Linked DNA regions of Drosophila melanogaster. The protein of the gene in region 2 interacts with the protein of the main gene of each other region in a pairwise test. Each region holds a gene or a part of one and is shown on either strand. Other genes may lie near its edges.

Region 1 (5,985 bases), 8.1 Mb from region 2:
AAAACACAGCAAAATGCAGAAGTACGATAAAATGGAGAAGATCGGGGAGGGCACCTACGGCACGGTGTTCAAGGGTCGCAACCGCGACACCATGGAAATAGTGGCCCTGAAACGGGTGCGACTGGACGAGGACGACGAGGGTGTGCCCAGTTCTGCCCTCCGGGAGATCTGCCTGCTGAAGGTCAGTCGGACGAGCAGGAAGTGATTCCAGTTTATAAACTAAATCGGCACATTACCATCCGTAGGAGCTGAAGCACAAGAACATTGTGCGCCTCATAGACGTCCTGCACTCGGACAAGAAACTCACCCTGGTCTTCGAGCACTGCGACCAGGACCTCAAGAAGTACTTTGACAGCCTCAACGGGGAGATCGACATGGCCGTCTGCAGGAGCTTTATGCTCCAACTGCTCCGCGGACTGGCATTCTGCCACAGGTATACCTATATATGTATCAGCACTGGATTAGGTCTTATCTTGTGTCGATTATAGTTAGAATCAAGTGTTATTTGGAGTAACTTCATCTGTGGCACATTTCCGAATGATATCCATTTTATAGCATTGAGACTTAACTTACGCTACATTATCCTATTTTAGCCATAATGTCCTGCATCGCGATCTGAAACCACAGAACCTGCTGATCAACAAAAACGGCGAGCTAAAGCTAGCTGACTTTGGTCTCGCTAGAGCCTTTGGCATTCCCGTGAAGTGCTACTCCGCAGAAGTGGTGACCCTGTGGTACCGACCACCCGATGTCCTATTTGGAGCCAAGCTCTATACGACCAGCATAGACATGTGGTCCGCTGGATGCATTTTGGCCGAACTGGCGGACGCTGGACGACCGCTGTTTCCTGGCTCTGACGTGCTCGATCAGCTGATGAAGATCTTCCGTGTGCTGGGCACCCCCAACGAGGACTCCTGGCCAGGAGTTTCGCACCTCTCCGACTACGTGGCGCTTCCATGTAGGGATTCTAGACGGATTTTATTTATCGATACCAATATTAAAAGCCTATTTATATTATAGCTTTTCCGGCCATCACCTCGTGGAGTCAGCTGGTACCTAGGCTAAACTCCAAGGGACGCGACCTGCTGCAAAAGCTGCTCATCTGCCGGCCAAATCAGCGAATTAGCGCGGAGGCGGCGATGCAGCATCCCTACTTTACGGACAGCAGCTCTTCGGGACATTGAGGTCGGAAGGTTCTTTCCAAGCCACTGTTTTCACGACCTTTGATTAGACTTAAGCCAAAATGCGAGACTTTGTCCAGCAAAGATCTTTTAATTATATATGTATGTCCTTGCAGTAGAGTTCGATTATAGTATAAGATAAAAAGTTCTTTATAATTTCATTAGTTTGATTTACCAAAGCAAAAGGTTTGATTTATGACAATCCCTACCAATGTGACACTTAATATAGCCATTTGAGCTGCCAAATTAACATTTATCGATAAAATACTTATTGATTCAGTAAAATAGTTTTATTCTTAAAAATTTTTATGTTGAGTGTATCGTTAAGATCCGAAAATTGTTCAAATTCCTAGACGATATCTACTGTTTGTGTGAATGTGGAAAAAATATTTGAAATCCTAGTTTCTGTTTTCAAAGACTAAAAACTAGGCAATACATCTGGTTTCCAAATTTAATGAGTGTCGACGATTTTCTTATTACATTTATTGTGTATTTTTAAGAATTTCGATCTTTCTGAATGATATGAGTCATTAAGTAAATTAGAATAAAAAAAATTGAGATGTAACCTAGATTTTTAAACCAATAAAGACACTTACCGCAGCACTACGTCGTCGCAGCATGATGAATATTTTGAAGTGGTCGCCTCAACCCCCGGCACTCAATAGGGGTTAAAGTCGTTCTGCGCACTCGCGAGTTAGAAATTGAGAACTTTACAGATTGAGAGATTTTTTTATTGTGCTACGAATTGCTAACCGAACCGGTCGGATTTCTGAATCTTAAGCACCGAGTACCTCGGAAATTCTTTTATATATATTATTAGACGAATAAACAAGGCTACCTGTGGATCGGATAATTCGCTATATAGTTAATAATCGGAAAACTGTGTTAACCGCGCAGATAAAACAAAAGCTGTTATCAGCAGCAACCCATTTTCTAATATAAATAACAAATAAGTGCTGCAGAAATGACTTGGGGATTTGTAACCTGCGGCCCCAACGAGGCTTTAGTTGTCTCTGGTAAATCACACGATCCTTATATGCTCAAAATAATGTCAAATCGATTAAATAAATAAGTCAGTGAATAAAAATGAAATTGTCACGCACACACACATATATATACACCCCACCCCAAGTGACGTCACTATCGATTTTTGTGTACCGCAAATGTTGTTGTTGGGATAACAGGGGAAGAAGCTGAATATGCGGCAGTCCGAAGCCATGCGTGCGCATTTGAACGGCGTTGCGGTGCTGTTATCCAAATGCTGCAATGTTTTGTAAACAAAGTGTTTTTTGTTTGTTTTCTGCGCAGGGTGCTGCTACATGAAGCCGCTTTTGGTGCCGGGAGGACGAGCATTCGTTTGGCCAGTGGGCCAGCAGGTTCAGCGGTGAGTTTTAACCGGCTTAGACCAGGGGTTCCAACGAAAAGCCACAGGTTAGGGAGGCGCTAAAAAGCGCGGGTATTCGAAATATTATTCGTAAGAATTCGGTTTTATTAAAATATATTAAATTATAATAAAATAATCTTATTTTATCAGATAATATTTAGTTAATATTTCTGGCTTCGTATCTGAGTCCCTAGTCTTAAGATAACAAGCCCTCAGATGTTAAATGTCCGCCAATCTTCCCCAGAATTTCGTTGAACACGATGACCCTCCAGGTAGAGAGTCCTTGCGTGTACACCAGCCAAGGAGTGCCCATCTCGGTGACAGGCATTGCACAGGTGAAGGTCCAGGGTCAGAACGAGGACATGCTGCTGACCGCCTGTGAGCAGTTCTTGGGCAAATCAGAGGCAGAGATCAACCACATCGCCTTGGTCACCCTGGAGGGGCATCAGCGTGCCATCATGGGTTCGATGACCGTGGAGGAGATCTACAAGGACCGCAAGAAGTTCAGCAAGCAGGTGTTTGAGGTGGCCTCCAGCGATTTGGCCAACATGGGAATAACCGTGGTTTCCTACACCATCAAGGATTTGCGCGATGAGGAGGTGCGTAGTTCCAACCGATTACTTTTTACCACTCTCCCCGCACAACTAACCCAATCATCAGCAGTGATGGGAATAGGTTCTGTATTTTATATATATATTAGTTTTGGTTTTGTATACTTGAACAAAAATTTATTTAGCAATTCTGCAGTGATTCTATATATATTCAAACTTATTTTCTATTTTAGATTTTCTTTTTTTTATTCGATTTTCCCATCACTGTGTACCGGCTTCAAAGCTCCCTTTTTTCAAATAACCTCTTGTATATATGTGAATATATATATTTCTTGCATGTCCACATGGATCCTCTGTAGGGCGACTCAAAGGTGCGTATGTCCGCCCAACCGCCTGTGCGTGGAATCGTTGGGACACGTCCATCAAATTCAGCTTCTTGTGTAACTATCGGGATACTAACTCCTCGCGTTCAATTTCCATTTTCAGGGCTACCTGAGGTCATTGGGTATGGCCCGCACGGCGGAGGTGAAGCGCGATGCCCGCATTGGCGAGGCTGAGGCCCGAGCGGAGGCCCACATTAAGGAGGCCATTGCCGAGGAGCAACGCATGGCCGCACGCTTCCTCAACGATACCGATATTGCCAAGGCCCAGCGCGACTTTGAGCTGAAGAAGGCAGCATACGATGTGGAAGTGCAGACCAAAAAGGCCGAGGCCGAGATGGCCTACGAGCTGCAAGCGGCCAAGACCAAGCAGCGCATCAAGGAGGAGCAGATGCAGGTGAAGGTGATCGAGCGCACGCAGGAGATTGCCGTCCAGGAGCAGGAGATCATGCGCCGCGAGCGAGAGCTGGAGGCCACCATCCGCCGACCGGCCGAGGCGGAGAAGTTCCGCATGGAGAAATTGGCCGAGGCCAACAAGCAGCGCGTGGTCATGGAAGCCGAGGCCGAGGCTGAATCGGTTAGATACCATCTAAATATTTGCTTATAGACTACGATTAACTGAAGCATCTCCATCTTCTTTGCAACAGATCAGGATTCGTGGTGAGGCTGAGGCCTTTGCCATTGCGGCCAAGGCTAAAGCAGAGGCCGAGCAGATGGCCATGAAGGCAGAGGCCTATCGTGAGTACCGTGAGGCTGCCATGGTGGAGATGCTCCTGGACACACTGCCAAAGGTTTGTCAATGGTTAGATTAAAAGAATCTATAATTTATTCTATGTTGAATCTAATTCGCAGGTTGCCGCCGAGGTGGCTGCTCCACTGTCACAGGCTAAGAAGATCACGATGGTGTCCAGCGGAACTGGCGATATCGGTGCTGCCAAGCTGACCGGCGAGGTTCTGTCGATCGTCAACAAAGTGCCAGAGCTGGTCAAGAACATAACCGGCGTGGACATTGCTCGGGTACGTTCCAATTCTGAATTTATCTAACTTCAGAGCTCGTCGAGGTGAATGAATGACGACGCAATCGAAACCAAAACAAATGGCAATCAAAAGACTTTGTAGACAGGAGGACGCTGCTTTCGTTTGCTACCTTCGTTTGATTTGAGCCTTGTTTTGCGATATAAATTCCCTGGTTTCGATTCACTTTACGTTTCCTTTCTCTTCATTTCAGTCTGTGCATGCTGGCTAAAAAAGTACCCAAAAGAAAACCAAAAACACACAAAATTATGTACTCTTCAAAACGAAAATAAGAAAACAAAAAAGAAATTACGCTATATTGAACGATCGAATACTTCAAAACTGAAATCGAACGCATTTAAATTTCTTTATAATTAATATATTATTGAATCTTTGTGCTAACCCGACAAATTTTGCAACATGTTTTACACACACACTCAGAGAGAGGAGCAAAAATATTTTGTATTACATGTATAATGTATTTATATAAGTGTATTGCACAAAGCGTGGAATAAATATTCTTCCTTGGATCAACAAATTGAGTTTATTTTAATGGGTCGGCAAATATAAAGGAAGTTGAAATTTTAAAATACCAAAGGTTTTGGCGGTTATTCCACATTGCCACACTTTTCAATTTCGCATATGCGCTGCCACCTTTTGATATAAATACGTTGGGCAACCAGCGTTGCCATGCCTTTTAATTAATCCATAAACGATACGTCTTCAGTTATTTTATAATGTTTTATTAATTTTAAATATATTATTATTAATGTATTAATCAGCCAATTGTTTCTGATGAAGCATTGAAGTTGGCTTCTCTCAGATAACTTCAGCTTTAGTGAAAGTTATGAAAAGGAATGGAATAAGAGAATTTGTAGGCATTTATATATAATAGCATTGTTATCACAAAATATATATTATATATTCAAGACGCAAAAAACAATCGATGCGATATAAGAAGTTGAATACATCGATAGTTTCGATAGGTTGATGTTGTACCATCACTAATAGCAGCTCTGTCCAGCTGTGCGGATAAAAAATCATAATCAGAATATCAGTATTATAACGCACATTACTCCCAAGAGTGTAATCTGAAAACCCACTTGAGTTAAGACAAATCCTAGAAAATAGAAAACCATAAATATTGTTTCCGCTCAACAAAACAAACACAAAGAAAACAATTGCGGCAGTGGGAAGGAAAAAAGTTCCGCCTTCAAAAGAGGAATCAAGTGGTAAAAACTGCATAAATAAGTCAAGCATAGCCGCAGAACTGTAGATAATATCACAATTAAGTGATGACCAGTAGACTTGTTGACTTTTTCAGACTTCATATCGCTGCCTGTGTTTATTGATTTTGTTTTTGGCCTGTTATCAACAACCTGCCGCCCACTCCCACCCTCCCCCTCTCCACACTCGACAAATGTATTCTTATTTACCCAACAAACAATTGGTTTTCAAAGCCACATATCTTATCA
Region 2 (5,508 bases):
TAAATGAATAGAAATCTGAATTTGGCAGTTGCTATGGCTTTTCCAAAGAACTTCTAATCGTACTTGACCACCATAAACAATATTTGGCGATTAGATTTTTTATATATTCACTTGACTTAAGTCGGGCCAATCGCCATTTATTAGGCTACTGATATACTGATATGGATGGTGAGTTATGTGCGCTGTGAGGGAAATCCATTTGATTAGTTATTGAAACTCTTTTAATTAAGTCTTTACAATTATGGGTAAGTCAGAAAGTTTCCCACTTGGATTATGCTTGCAGTTAGCTGAAGAACATGCGTAAATACCCTTGAATCTGAAGCATGGGAAAACGGCATGGAAAATACTCAGTTTTGTTTGTGACTACTTGTAATAAGTAGGTAAAAGTAGAAGATTGCACAAATTAACGGCAAGCAAGCTTAACAGACTGCAGTTGCAATTGTGTTGCTGCTGCACTTGCTGCAGTTGTAGTGGCTGCTGCAGTTGCTGTTGCGAGTTCAGTCACCTCGTCTTGCGCCCATAGAAATGACTATGATTAAAGCAGCATTCGCGGATACAACAAACAACACAACTTTTAAACTATCCGCATTAAACATGAAATAATGTACTAAACTTTCAATTTACTTATTTGAATCTGTTCAAATAAGTGCTTAAATAAACTTTTATCGAATTACTGGAATCTGCGAAGCGTACAGCTGATCGAATTAATAATGGTAGTGGCCGCAGGTCATTGGAAGGACCATGACTGTTGTTTTTGTCGCAAAAGGACGAATTCGATTGAGTTTACAGACCGATTCAGTTGTTTCTGGCGCTCGAAAGCCGCTTAACTGATTGCAACATTGATGGAAGCACATATCAATTGCCCTCTCAGCCGATGGTTCAAGTGATTTCCCATCACACACTCGTACACCCAATCACTCAACACACATAAACACACACACAAGCACAAGCGGCAATCTTAATGCGCCTGGCAACAACTAAAAGACATCAACAACATCGCGAGCAACAGTTGTGCGAGTGCGAGTGCATGAGTATCTGTATCTGCGTGAGTATCTGTGTGGCGCGCGCCAGTGTGTAGAGTATCTGTGTGCGACGGCTACATAGCAACCGTTTATCATAATTGGCATTAACTGCCAGCCATTCCTCAATTCTTTTCGGCCCGTAGCATTACGTATACGCCGGGATGGCCGATGGCCTGGCATGGCGAAGAGAATTCATTGCCGAGCAGGGGCCTTAATTCGCAGGCTCAGTTCGTTTTCGTTCTTCTTGTTTGTCTGCGAATTACGCCCATGTCGGCGTACTTGATTGTTTCACCGCATGTATTGTACGAGTGTAACAATGGATAGTATCGTGTGTATGGCCGCAAGGACCATGTCATTTGCAGTGCCGAACATTTAACTCGAATGCTGCCCGACAAGCTGCCTAATTAGTGGATGGCCAACTCGAAATAGAACTGGAAAAAGCTGAAGCCGCGAGAAGCGGGTAATGGAAACCGTAAACAAACGCAGCCAGCAAAGTGAACAAATGCCCTCAGCAGTTTACCAAAAACCGCGTGCGAGGCTTCGCCTTCGCAGTGGGGCGGAAAGAGAGGGCGAAACGCTCGGCAAGCGAACACGCCGCCTAATTTAGATTCCCGTGCGGTAGGTCAAGTGCCAATTTCCTCAACTTGAAGTTGTGTGGCAGCAGCAAATCCAATACTGAACGAATTGAATCAGTGTGTCTTCCATTCGATTCTGTTTTCTGTATACGCATCTTGGCCCAGGAACCTGTTGCGCTGACTTGACAGCCCGTCAATCCGCAAAGTCCCTGGCACTGGCCAAAAAATGGGAAAACAGCCGGAATTGGCCAACAACCGCAGGTTTCACATGTGCAATCTGCCAAAGATTTGTGAGGATTTTGTGGGAAGCGATGCTGCAAACCCAATAGCATGAGCTTCTACTCCAGTCGAGAGTTGTGCACTGGGGAAGGGAATGGTTTCTCTATAGATTCAATAGAGAATTCAAATATTCAAAAATAGCCAGTTATTTATGTATGAAGACATTAAGTGGGGCACTGCAGATAAATGCGAGTGGCAACCTATGTTAGGGGAATACCAGCTTAAGGATATATTTTAACCAATTCTAAAGTGCATTTTGTTTCTTGCAGTGCCTTGGGTTTTTTTCCATTACGACAATCCCTAAGGAACATTCCATTTCATCGGAAAAGCCTCTTAGTAACAGTCCTGGCCTCAAAGGACATTTGCAAATGTATTGGGGAAAACTGGAGTACTGTATAGATGGAACCTTTCTTACTTACCCTTTGTTCGCCGGACTAACAGTCTCTACATTTGCTTGATAGCGATGTTTGTAATCTCCTTTAATTTCGGTTCATTTGCCCGAGGGGCACACAGCTACTTTCTTGTGGTGTTTGTCTTTACAATCGCAGATAGAGCGCTTCTTTCGCTCGCGTTTTTGATAACACAGAACATATATGATGTAGTAACTAATTGCTGGAAATCGGCGAAGGGCTCCGAAACTTAAGACACGAAAACTGTGGATAAAATGTATTGTTTTGATCAGAGGAAACGAAGAAAGTTGGTACTCGATTTTCGTCCGTTTTCGTTTATAATTTAATTTACGCGCTCACTAATTATGTAATGCCCTCTCCCCTAATACCCCGAAAAAACCGAAGAACCGATTGCATTTGGCGCGAAAATAGACAACGGCAAGCGCAGAGATAACAATAATAGTTTATATTTAAATTTGAACAACAACGGCGGTCAGCATCGTTTAATTTGTTTACGCGGCTCGAGCTCGTTATTATTCGACTATGAGGCCAATCTAATTTATGCTCCGCCGCCTTGTTGTTGTCTCAGTTTTGGGTTTGATTTGGTTTGGTTTGCTTTAGTGCCACTCTGACTGGGCTGCTTTGCAGGAGATTTCTGTAGTAATTTTCCATGCAATAACAATGATTTTCGCTTTTTTATTTTTCTCTATTTTTCTTATTTTTTTAATTTTTGGCGCTATCTACATTTCTTGTTTTGCGCCGCCTGCAGTTGCGTTTGAGCGCGTATCCCCCCGAGGGAAATGGAAATTACCAGAAGTAACAGAAGCAACAGAAGAAACGGAGGCGAGAACGAACCAAAGGGGAATAAAAATAAAAACGGTTATCCGATGTTTTCGGAGCTTCCTGATTTCCCGCGATCTTGCGCTGAGAGTGGGAGCAGATATCGGGCGTCTGTAGCGCGTCTGGATTTCCCGGTCTTCCGCTTTTCTAGCCGGACAACTGAACGCGGCCAGCGACAAACTTCAACTGAAGCAGCTCGACTCGAATCGAATCGCGGCGAAACGAAATGAAACGAATCGCAACGAAACGATACGAAACGAAACAGCTGGTATCGCAGCCCCAAAGCCCCACAGTGCAACAACAACAGCTGACGGGGGCGGAGAGCCGAAGAGAGTGCGCCACACTGCGCGAAAAGTCAAGCACTTAAATCACCAACTAATGCAATGCTAGTTATATGGCCTTTAACAGCGATTTCGTAGCTTAAAAGGATCTGCATGCAAGAAACTTATTTTCATTGTATCTAATTATACCTTTGCGTTTAATAATTTAAAGGAGAACTTCTTTAGATTTCAATTATTTGTTTTCTGTGTAAGCTTATTACGAGCAACGAGCGAGAGAGCAAGTGTGTGGGACAGAAAGAGCAGGCAAAGCAGCAACAGGCAGAGGCAGAAGCAGTCTGACCATTTTCCTGAGGGGCTGGGGGTGGGGAGAGTTGCTCTGTAGGCGCAGGAGAGACGGTCGCTATGACTCTTTGTTGCACCTACTTTGTTGCCGTTGCCAAGGGTGAGAGCTAAGCTGCATGCCGAATACGCTACACAAAACAAGATATAGAGACTGTCATATCCGAATTGTTGCTTTTTATAGTTTCTATAATCTATTTATTGAAACTTGTTACAAAAGCGTGCTAACGCACGAAAAGTAGGAGACATATTCCTTCTCAACCTTCTACTTTCTTCTGTAGCGTAGGGTACCCAACTAAACCAATACACCCCGTACAAATGTACAGTTCTTTTCTTCGCCCTGCCTCTCTGCTCCTCCAATTCTTTTTAGTTCAACATATGTGAGGAGCACATGGAGCGACAGCAACACAAACAGCAGCAGCAATAACAATAATAGCAACAATAGCAACAATAACAACAATAACAACAATGACAACGCAGCGACGACGCTCCAAATGATTGAACTTAAATGGCAGAGGCCTAGAAAGCAGGGTGTGCGTGTGTGCGTCGCAGTGTTTGTGGATGCAAATGTGTGCCCGGTTATCAACACTTTTTAGTCGCTAGCCCTCCTATCTCCAACCTACTCCCCCTTTGCCACGCCCCTTTCCCCCTCCCACATTCTATCACCATGCTAGGGCCCAACAAAATAGTCAGCATTTGCGGGCGTTCAAAGCTCAAAGCAAAAGCAAAGAGGCCACAGTCAGCCCTCTGTGTCGTGATCCAATATCTCTGTCCACAATAATCAGCACAAGAGGCGATAGTTTCGAACTCAAATGGGATTAATCCTCACTGGAATACAGCTCAAAACTGTTCGAAACTGCCAGCATGTAGGGATGTAGAGTCACTAAACTGAAAGCTTCTAGCAAGATATCAAATGGTTTTCAACAAAGCATGCTTTGCAAGCAAAAATGGCACTAGCAACTTTACGAACTTAGGTATTAACTACACTTTCACACAGTAGAACCTCCACTGTACCTGAAGCTCGGCAGAAAGACTTCGCAGAGCCATGGAACCCGCCTTGTTTACCCTACAGAGACTTTTTCCGGCTCGAGAGCCTCTGAACTGCCCCGCCTCCGTTTCTTCCGCCCATAGAGCGAGTATCATACGAACTGCAATAAGTGGCGGCGATAAATAAAGTACCCGTCCCCATTTTCATTTTATAGCCAGATCGTGAGACAATAAAATGCAAAGGCAATGAGTGCGCTGCTGGCAAGAGAAATTAATAAGCACTCGAGTGCAAAGTACTGCTCGCCGCTCGCCACTATCACTATCATAGGCCGAATGCTGTTGATTTGCATTACAGCGGCGGAGTGGGGGAAGTCGCTTATCAGCAATGGGAGCCACAGCAGCAGCGGGCTGATAGTGATAACAGCGCCGATACCGAAATACACACGTTGTGTCGGTGTGCGTGGCGTAGATTATTGTTATTATTGATTAATAAACAATTGTCTCACTCGCACAGAAAGTAGCTGAGGCTGTACGTATGTTGGTTTGTCTACACACATGGGTACATCTGTCGACTAAGGCGACGCGACCGATAAGGAGTGACCGATTTAGTTCTATAGTTCATGCGGAGATAGCCAACTCTTCGGACGCGATTGACCCACAAATATGGGGCGACAAACATGAAAACATATGCTTAAACTTATTTTGGTACGGGCCCCAAGAAAAAAGCACAGATCACTTAAATTAGTCAATATGCATGACTTGCCACATTACGCACGACTATCAGTATGTTTTATTA
Region 3 (3,808 bases), about 14 Mb from region 2:
CCCGCAGTCCCTCCTCGCGCTCCAGCTCCTCCAGCTTGTCGAAGATGTCGGCATCGATGTAGTCGGCAATGTTGTGACCCTGCCAGAACTCTGGAATAATGTCGTAGCGCTCCTCCTCGGGGATTTCGCTGTAGTTCTTCTTGAGGTCCAGCGTGTAGTCGTCGCCCATCTCCTCCTCGATCTCCTTCTCCAGCTTGCGCTTGCGCTCTGCCTTGTCGGCATTCTGTAGCAGGCGCGCCGAGGCCTTTTCTGGGATGCAGGGTGCACGAAGTTTGTCATCTCGCGGCGCTGGCATCGCCACATGCAAGCGGTTCAGGATGTTGTCCACCTTCTTTGTGCGCATCTTCTGGTCAACACGGTACGAGAGCAAACGCTCACATGCCTCGGTTTTCACCTCCATGACACCGGTTTCCTGTACGGTGGACATGAGCATTACGGGAATGTTCTTGTCCTCCTGTAGTTTGGTGATAATCGCTCGTCGCTCCTCTGGCAGATCCTCTGGTGTTAGAATATCGATCTTGTTGATGGCCAGGATGAGGGGTTTGTTTGTAAACAAAGGCTTGATGCTCTCGAACAGCTTGACCTGTTCCTCCAAGGAGTGTCCGCACTGCTCGGAGATATCCATGAAGTACAGGACGCAGGCGCGCAAATGAGCCAAGGCAGTAATGGCTTGCATTTCGATCACATTGCGCTCTTCCAGGGGATGATCCAGGATGCCGGGTGTGTCAATGACCTGCCAGCGCAGATATTTGTAGTCTGTGTGTCCCACGTACAGGGATTTCGTGGTGAAGGCGTAGGGCTGCACTTCCACATCGGCGCGGGTGATCTTGTTGATGAACGAGGACTTGCCCACGTTGGGGAAACCGCAGATGATGATGGTACGCGAATAGGGATCGATGGTGGGCAGACGCGAGAGATGCTGACGCACTTGCTCCAGATACGTCAGATTGGAGGCCTGTCGCTTCATAATGGTGGCCATGCGACCCAGGGCAGCTTTCTTCAACTGTTTGCAGCGATACAGCGAGTCACCGTACTTCAGCAGGCGCACGTAGTCCTTGGCCACACTGCGGGATAAAAAATAGAATAGTTAATCGAACCTTGTTCGTTTGGGGATCTGTGACTTTGGCACTCACTTGTCCACCAAATGCCTGGCTGTGTTGAGTTGACCCAGCGCCAGCTTGTAATGATCCTTGTCGTACAGCACGTTCATCAAGTCGGCGTAGAAAGGATGCACGTCGTCCAGTTTGGGAAAGTCCTGAATGATCTGCGACAAGCGATCGTGGAAGTTCTGCTGCGTGTACTTCACCTTGCGCGTGTAGAATGCCCGGATTCTGGATATTTTGTAGCCCTTGTGGACCACCGTCGGGGTCTTGCGCTGTGTCTTCGACAGCATAATGTCGATGAAGTCCTGTGGAAAGGGCAAAAAATAAAATATTATTTACATATTGCGCATATTGGTAAACACCTCCAGTGAGGTTATGTCTTTGCTTCAAGGGGTGCTCCGCGGGACGGGCGCTGCTGGGTACACCTTACCTTTGCTGGCGGAACCACCATGATCTTTTTGAAGTTGTACAGACTCATCTTGGCAGGATTTGTTTATTTTCCACGCGTCGAAAGGAAAATAAATGCGGAATCGAAAGCAAAAACACCACGCGGTGTCAGCTTCGTATTCCAAAAAGAACCGGTTCTCGGGCGGAACCAGTTTAGGTTCACATGTGCTGCACGGCGATGCCAGCCCGCGTAACTAAGTCTGGCGATGTGGCATCATTTCAAAGGCATTTAAGATGTTTCAACTTAATTGCAGTTGTTTAATATAGAAATATATCCATCTAAAATATGAGCGAGTATTTCAATTCATTAATTATGTCTATTTTACGTATGCACTTCAAAAATTGTATTACTATTTCAATTCAAAAGGAAATTATTTTTAATTTTTATATAAATTAAACAAAATCACATCTTCCAAGAGGCAGTACAGTGGAAACATGTTGAAACTGGCGTAGGAACCAAAACAAAACATTTTGGCAACACAAACAAAATGGATTCGGAAGCTGCGGGAGTAGCACTTCTCTCCAGAGAGCAAATCATCAGGATACTAAGCGAAGTGCCAGCGGGATTCATAAAGCCCACGGATCCGCCTGCACCCAGTTTGGCGCCCTTCAAGAAACTCGGCGTTCTCGTGGACATCGATGACATCTTGGGCGAGCAGGATGCGGCGGCAGCTAGGATCAGGGACAACATAGATAAGGAGCAGAGCTACAGCTGCGTAGAATGCCGAAAAATGCTGCCCACTGCCCATCTACTGGATCTGCACATCACCGAACAGCACGATTGCTATTTTGCCGCCAGCGTGGAGCGCGGTGACAAGCCCATGTTTTCCTGCTTTCTGGAAGAGTGCACCATCAAGTTTCATACTGCCCGGCAGCGCAAGGATCACTGCATCATAACGCACAAGCTTCCGGCAAACTATCGCTTTGATCATAGCAAGAATAGGGGCAAACAGAAGCATCAAGGCAAAAGCAAACCCAATTCCATGGAGGTGGACGAGGTGATAGAGGAAACTAAAAGTTTGCCCTACGTCAAGGCCTTCAGCTTTGGACATCAAACGCAGAGGAGTTTCTACACAGGCAAAGATCAGAGATCTGGCAAAACACTGGACGATGTCCAGGCCATGAAGGAGGCCATTAACGACATCCTGGATTAGATTTGTACAACTACATATTTATTTTGCGAATGAAGCAGCATTATCATTATCCTGGTAGAACTATATTAGTCTGTTAGCGGAAACATCCTACATCATTTTGCCTTGGCACTGGGCCTGTAAATAAATGAAAATCGGTTTTATTGTTGATTCCGGGCTGTCTTCTTCCTCTTCTTCACCAAGTGGGATTACTTACTTTCCGGTATTGGCATTAATATAATGATAGGCAACCACCAGCAGGAACAGAAATACGCCCAGAACGTTGGAGAAAATGGCCAATTGCACGTCGGTGATCATTTTGCAGACAGTAACACGTTCTATGGATAAAAACAAACTAATTGATTAGAAACGAAGTGGGCGAGTGACACGTCATGGGTGCGGTGTGGAAATCGCGATTTCTGGCCTATTTCTGTATCCACCAAAATGCAACGCGGGATTATGCATCTCATTTGTCGATTAACTTCACCGATTGTTTCGTTTGCGTTCATTAACTTTAGTTTATTACCTTTTTCAGCGAAAAAACGAGCCGGTTTTTATTGTGTACAAATATTTCAGCGTGACCGTAGATCGACCACTAAAATATACCGATATACCTCGCGAACCATAAATAATACCAGATATACCAAACCGGATATTTAAAAAAAAAATCGTTTTCTTTTCTTTTTTTTCAATTTCAAAATGAACGTCATTTATAAAAAGTAAAAGGTTTCCACCATATTTTATTTTTATTTCAATAACTCCATAACATTTGAAATCCAAAACTCGTTATCACCTTTTTACTACAAATAACAAAACCATATTCTTAATTCTATTTTATTTTCATAAAAATATTCAGCGAACAATTGTAAATTCTCGCCAAAAATTATAAATTAACATATTTAACGGCCATCTTAGAAATATTTTAATTATCTTTCCGTATCCAAAGCTTAAAACTAGTTTACATAATACTTATTGCTTTCATATATTTTTTGCGCAGCTCTGTTTTAAAGGTCACTTGTTTTGTGGAAATTGTTGCGTCAGTTAAAAATATTTAGTATAGCTATCGTCATACACAGATCTCTCAATTGCTCTAGTTTAAATATTAAAGAAGGCACTCGAGTGCACTTG
Region 4 (5,208 bases), on a different chromosome or scaffold from region 2:
GTGAAATCACTCGATGCACATGGACCCATTTGGAACCTTGGAGTGTCGCTGTATCTGACTTCGTATCTGGGCTTTTTACACGCAAAAAAGTTTTTACTTGAAAATGTGATATAAAAATGTATAAAGATACAAATGTATCTTAGGCTCGTAATCACTGCTCTGGAAAGTCCTGTTCTACATTTTTGAGATTTTTGTAATTAAGAGATACATTTTTCTTTCTCTGCATTTGTATCTGTTTATGGGCAGCAGGGCAACGCTTGGATTCTAATTGTCGAAGTCGTCATTTGTCGTCGCTTTTTCATTGGCGTCATCCATTGCTGTCGTCGGGGTGTGAGATTTAAGTCGGTTTATCGACAGCATCGTCGCCGATTTTGGTTGCGTATTGTCGCCTATATGGCACCTCCCCCCCCCTATTTATGCTCCCCCCTGAAAGCCCCACCGATTGATCATCATCATCATCATTGTACGCTGCCTTTGTTTGTGCGGCTCGCGTATTTCTTCAATAAATTTTCAGTTTATTCGGTTTATTTATTTACTTATATTTGCTATTGCTCTTTAGCTCGTATCCACCGCCCCACTTCAGTTCACAATTCCCTTTCCATTTTGGCTTCTTCGCTTTTCGCTTTGTTTTCTCGCAGCCTTATGATTATTTTTCTCAGTTTCCACCTCCGAAGAGCCCCATTCCCTCCAAATCTTCGCCCTCCATCGTCTCCGTCGCTCGCGTAATTGAATTTCAACTTGTTTGCATTGTCGACGATGATGATAATTCGTCGGGGTATTTTGCGTATTGAGATCAGGGCCTCATCAATTAGTAAATTAATTTTATGCTCGCCGCTTTATGGAAATAAAGTTTTGCAGCATCCGAGCCGAGGAAAGTGGAAAATCAGAGGGATGAGCACAGGAAGCAAGCTTAAGATTGAAAATCTTGTTTGTTTACTCAGTTAGAAAATCGCCTGGAATTCTTGAGATATTCATCCCGAAGGCCGTCGTAAAAATCCTTAATCAATTTATGGCTCTTTTGTGTTCTGAACAATTTAATTAAGTTCTTTAAGGCACTGCAAACTACTTTGTTGTATACAAATGAACAAATATTAACCTTTTACTGCTAACGAAACTAAACAAATATAAAAAATGTTAGTCTTGAACTGAGCAATATTATTATAAATTTTAAATATAATTACTATGCAATACTGCAGCTCTTCAAATAACAAATGTATTTTAACTTAACTACCACTTCCCGCACATTTTTCAACTAGTTAACTTTTATTTGTCCCATTTTACAGAATGAAATGTCAGTAAATATTTTTGTAATTATTCGATTTATTTTTTGCGCCATTTGACGTACCAAAATTTCAATTATAATCAGCTTTGGCTTTATTTAAATATGGCACACATTTACCAACCAACCACCACTCCCACTTTTAGCTCATTATTTATTTTCTACTGTCCGTTTCCCACGGAAAGTTGCAATTATCATATTTGACTTTTCCGCATAAATTCTGTGAATTATCTCACCGCAACTATTTTTATTTGTTTTAATTATTATTATAGTAGTTTTAGCAAATGTATTTTGTTGCCATTTTATTTTTTGTGTTTCACAAAATATTACAGAACTCGAACGGAATGTTTGTGCCATTGATTCGTATTTGCGGTTGGCAAACCGAAACGAAATGTGCAACAAATTATTTCTGATATTATTATTTATTTATAGAAAAAGCTGAAAATAGAAAAAAAGTCATCAGCAAAATATGATATGTGACAATTCAATCACAAATCGAGATAGGAACCCTCTCTCAATTTTATATATTTTTTTGTTGTGTTGATCCCAAATGCAAAAATTGCCCGTTAAAATGCAATCTTCATTATTTAATTTATTTGAATTTTTGCTGGCAATAAATATTCATTTCTGACCGTAGTGGGTGTTGGCCTCTGTAGATATGGGAAAATTGTATGCAAATACAATTAAATGTTTTCATATGCATTTTGTGTGCTCCTCGATTTGATTGCTGCCAAGGGATATGTCTTGTTCAAACGGTTTACGTGGCGTATACTTGATATTATGTATTTTCTATGAATGTGCAATTTTTATTTATTATGCCAAGCAATTGAGAAAGAAAGAAAGATTAATCAAGAGCTTTGAAGAATATGTTATATATATATATATTGGGTTTGAATACTTTCCGCTCGAGCCCATTGAATATTTAAACATTACAATTGCTGTGGTGATTTCTGGCCATTTTAATCTGCTGCTAAGTCCCACTTTTGTCCGGTCAATGTGTAAATCAATAATGCATTAAAAACTTATTAGAACAAACAAGGATTCATTAGGCGCAATCTGTGTTCGTCCGTTTCGCAGTTGTTATTTATATCGATATAACAAGGTAATAACTGCACACTTAAGTATGCAAATAGCCTGGCCCGCACCTTCGTCCTTGTATGCCTGTGTGTGCGTGCGTCTGTGTTTGCACATGCAAATGTTATCATTTGTGATTAGTTACAGTCCTGAAATGCTAATGCCCCTTGACAAGCAACAGCAACAACCGCAAGACAACTCACTTTCGGGTTAACTGGAATGCCAGCCAGTGTATGTCTGTGTATGTCTGTACATCTGTGTGCCTTTGATCCTTATGAATAGTCAGCCAGCCGGAGGACGAGCCGAATTTGCCCCGGCTGGCATTGTGCTTCGCTCTGAATTATTTACACAAATCCAACTGCAATCGTTTGTCAATTTGCCAATTGACAGTGAACATAATTGATGGTGATTAAGGGTGAACGTAGTAGGTAAAGAAGGTGGGATTGCTTTATGAAGTCATTCGCTTGGCAAAAGATTGTTATGTTGTAGTGTGAGGCCATAGATTTGGTAAATTATTGTCGTACCGTTACTATTGTAAGTCTCAAAACTGAAAGACTTATCTTAACACTGTAATTATAAATACTAATTCGATATCTATGATATATATATAGTCTATTATATCTAAGGATAACATACTTCCCTCCGTTGAGTGCATCCTGCAACTGCTTCAAGCATCGATCGATTTTTCTTTCCCTCACTTGTGAGCCATATTTGGATGACGAATAGGGATCGAACAGGAATGGAAAATAGGGATGTGGGTCAAACGTTAAAACGGAAGTCGAATCATCTTTGGTGATTTCCTCCTTGACTTTCTCCTTTCTGGACTCCTTCACTTGTTCCACCTTTTCACTCATTTCGCCACTTGCCAATCTGCGTTACGTATACGCCACGTTGAACAAACCACGTCTAATCGAACCGAGATTTTTTTACCGCACTTCCAAACGCATCGAACTCTCTTTGGCAACTGCCGTCTAGTTCTTTGTCCAACTTCCTCTGCGATTAATTTTTATTAGTAGTGCCTCCAGTGCCTGGCAGTAGTTATTACAGTTGGCCAGCGCACATCTTAGCCATAGGTGGACTAATCACCAGCGCCATCAGCTGCAGTCTTACAGCAACGGCTGGCACTCGATTGCCTTCACCACCCATTCTGAAGGCCACGCGAAGCTTTTTGCATATTGCGTATACGTCATGTGCGTCCGGGATCGAGTTTCATTTCACGGTAATATATGAAAAATTCCTGGTAATGCAATGCGATCCCCAAACTGATTGCTTTAATGGTTTGTTGACTCAGTTAGCTGGCGAATAACAGCAGCTACTGTCAGCGTATTTCTATAAACTCTTAAAGTCGGGTTTTAAGTACATTAGACCTTGTGCTGTGATCCTCATATGAGTGGAATATTCCTACTGTGCGATTTATTGAGAGTGCTGAAAATATACTTTTCGAAAAATTTTCAATAAAAATATTGCAATCTGCTATTACTGCGAAATATCTTCTTAATTCATATCAATGAATGTATTTCATCAATGTAAATTCCCATTTGTATGGGATATACTTAGAAAATTATAGACCATCTCTATGAAAATTCTTTGCAACACAATAGTAACTCAATTCATTCAAATAATAAGGGAATTTTTAAACTCGTCGAGTTTTCTAAATGATCTAGTTTTATTAAAAGAGTAATATAAGTATATACCTTAACTTTCCGCTTTCTTCGCAATACACTTTGGGGTAATTCCTCAAATATTTTCGTCGTTCGTCGGTCTAGCTGGGAAAATTGAGAAGTGAGAGGTGGAAAAAGTGACCTCATTTGGCATAGGACCTCATTTCCTAACGCCCAACGAACCGCTATTTTTTGTTGTACGTCGCAGTTAAGTGTCCTTTCGCATTTCGTTTGCTTGGTGTTTGTCCTGTTTTGTGGGCGGTTGATTTGCTCCTTGGCTCCTCCCGCATCCTGTTCGTCCTGCCCTTGTTTTGCTTTCGGCTTGGTGCCCATGTAACTTGCTGGAAAATTAATAATAATAAAAAAACACCTACCACGGGGTGGGAGTACACGCGTGACCCTATTAAATGTGTGCTAATAAAAGCTTGGCAGCTCCGAAAAAAAATCCAAGGAAAATAAGGGAAACACGCAGGGGCAAGAGCGCAGATAGCTGACCAAGTGCGTAATGTTGGACAGAATATTTCTATGCCCAAGTGGTGAAGAAGTCTTGCTTACAAATTTCTGAAGTGTACAATGGACGATGAAATTACTTAAAAATTCACGAAGAAATGCGAAAGATGACGATGATGATGGGGTGGGGAAAACAAAATCAACGCTCACAAAAGCGGAAACATTTAACGGGGGCGGTGGTGGGTTGATGGTGTTTCTATTTACGCTAAAGGTCAACTTTTTCCATTTGCAGCTTGGTCATTTATAAAATCTTTCGGTATTATTAAGCAAAGCGAGGAAAACCAACTAAGAGGATGAAGTGGTGGAAAGGACTAAGGAAGTACATAAAGAAAACCCAAGGAGGACCAAAGCCGAGTTCTGTTGTGTCCGCGATTTATCAAATTAATGAGTATCATTTTATTTTCATTTCATTTTCTATGCGCCAGCACAAAAAGCGAAGGACGAAATCTCCGAAATTCCAGCAAGGAGTGGTCCAAAAGGAGAGCTTCGAAAATTAAGGTAACTTTTTGGCAAAGCCAAAGGAAAAATGAGTGGAAAAAATGTATAAAAAAGAAATCAAAATAAATGAGAAAGAAACGGACAAGGACAGGTCAAAGTGGAATCGAGGGAAGATTCCTTTCCATCTACGATAGCAAACATTAGAAAAAAATATTCAGAATGAGGCCGACTTGTGAAGTACCCTAA

Evidence for each region.
Region 1: the proteins of Sesn (region 2) and Flo1 interact in a two-hybrid assay, tested with the Drosophila melanogaster proteins (one large-scale study listed by BioGRID).
Region 3: the proteins of Sesn (region 2) and l(2)k10201 interact in a two-hybrid assay, tested with the Drosophila melanogaster proteins (one large-scale study listed by BioGRID).
Region 4: the proteins of Sesn (region 2) and tna interact in a two-hybrid assay, tested with the Drosophila melanogaster proteins (one large-scale study listed by BioGRID).

The regions. Positions count from the first base shown.
Region 1 is NT_033778.4:15,565,331-15,571,315, reverse strand, and holds Flo1 (flotillin 1), read left to right. Parts: upstream 1-1,911; 5' UTR 1,912-2,145; coding exon 2,146-2,197; exon of another isoform or gene 2,198-2,356; intron 2,357-2,489; coding exon 2,490-2,565; intron 2,566-2,809; coding exon 2,810-3,164; intron 3,165-3,475; coding exon 3,476-3,487; intron 3,488-3,602; coding exon 3,603-4,073; intron 4,074-4,143; coding exon 4,144-4,287; intron 4,288-4,348; coding exon 4,349-4,513; intron 4,514-4,724; coding exon 4,725-4,742; 3' UTR 4,743-5,045; downstream 5,046-5,985. Other genes in the region: Cdk5 (Cyclin-dependent kinase 5), read left to right, coding at 14-181, 246-433, 594-958, 1,021-1,184; CG30466 (uncharacterized protein), read right to left, coding at 1,778-1,801. UniProt on the Drosophila melanogaster protein: May act as a scaffolding protein within caveolar membranes, functionally participating in formation of caveolae or caveolae-like vesicles.
Region 2 is NT_033778.4:23,711,687-23,717,194, reverse strand, and holds the start of Sesn (sestrin), read right to left. Parts: upstream 3,296-5,508; 5' UTR 3,077-3,295; intron 2,530-3,076; exon of another isoform or gene 2,515-2,529; 5' UTR 2,296-2,514; intron 1-2,295. UniProt on the Drosophila melanogaster protein: Functions as a negative feedback regulator of mTOR function.
Region 3 is NT_033778.4:9,397,051-9,400,858, forward strand, and holds l(2)k10201 (lethal (2) k10201), read left to right. Parts: upstream 1-2,029; 5' UTR 2,030-2,038; coding exon 2,039-2,704; 3' UTR 2,705-2,796; coding exon of another isoform or gene 2,797-2,818; 3' UTR 2,819-2,849; downstream 2,850-3,808. Other genes in the region: Non1 (putative nucleolar protein 1), read right to left, coding at 1-1,064, 1,134-1,408, 1,534-1,581; CG33774 (uncharacterized protein), read right to left, coding at 2,797-2,818, 2,898-2,998. UniProt on the Drosophila melanogaster protein: Vital for development.
Region 4 is NT_037436.4:10,833,527-10,838,734, reverse strand, and holds the start of tna (tonalli), read right to left. Parts: upstream 3,208-5,208; coding exon 2,990-3,207; intron 1-2,989.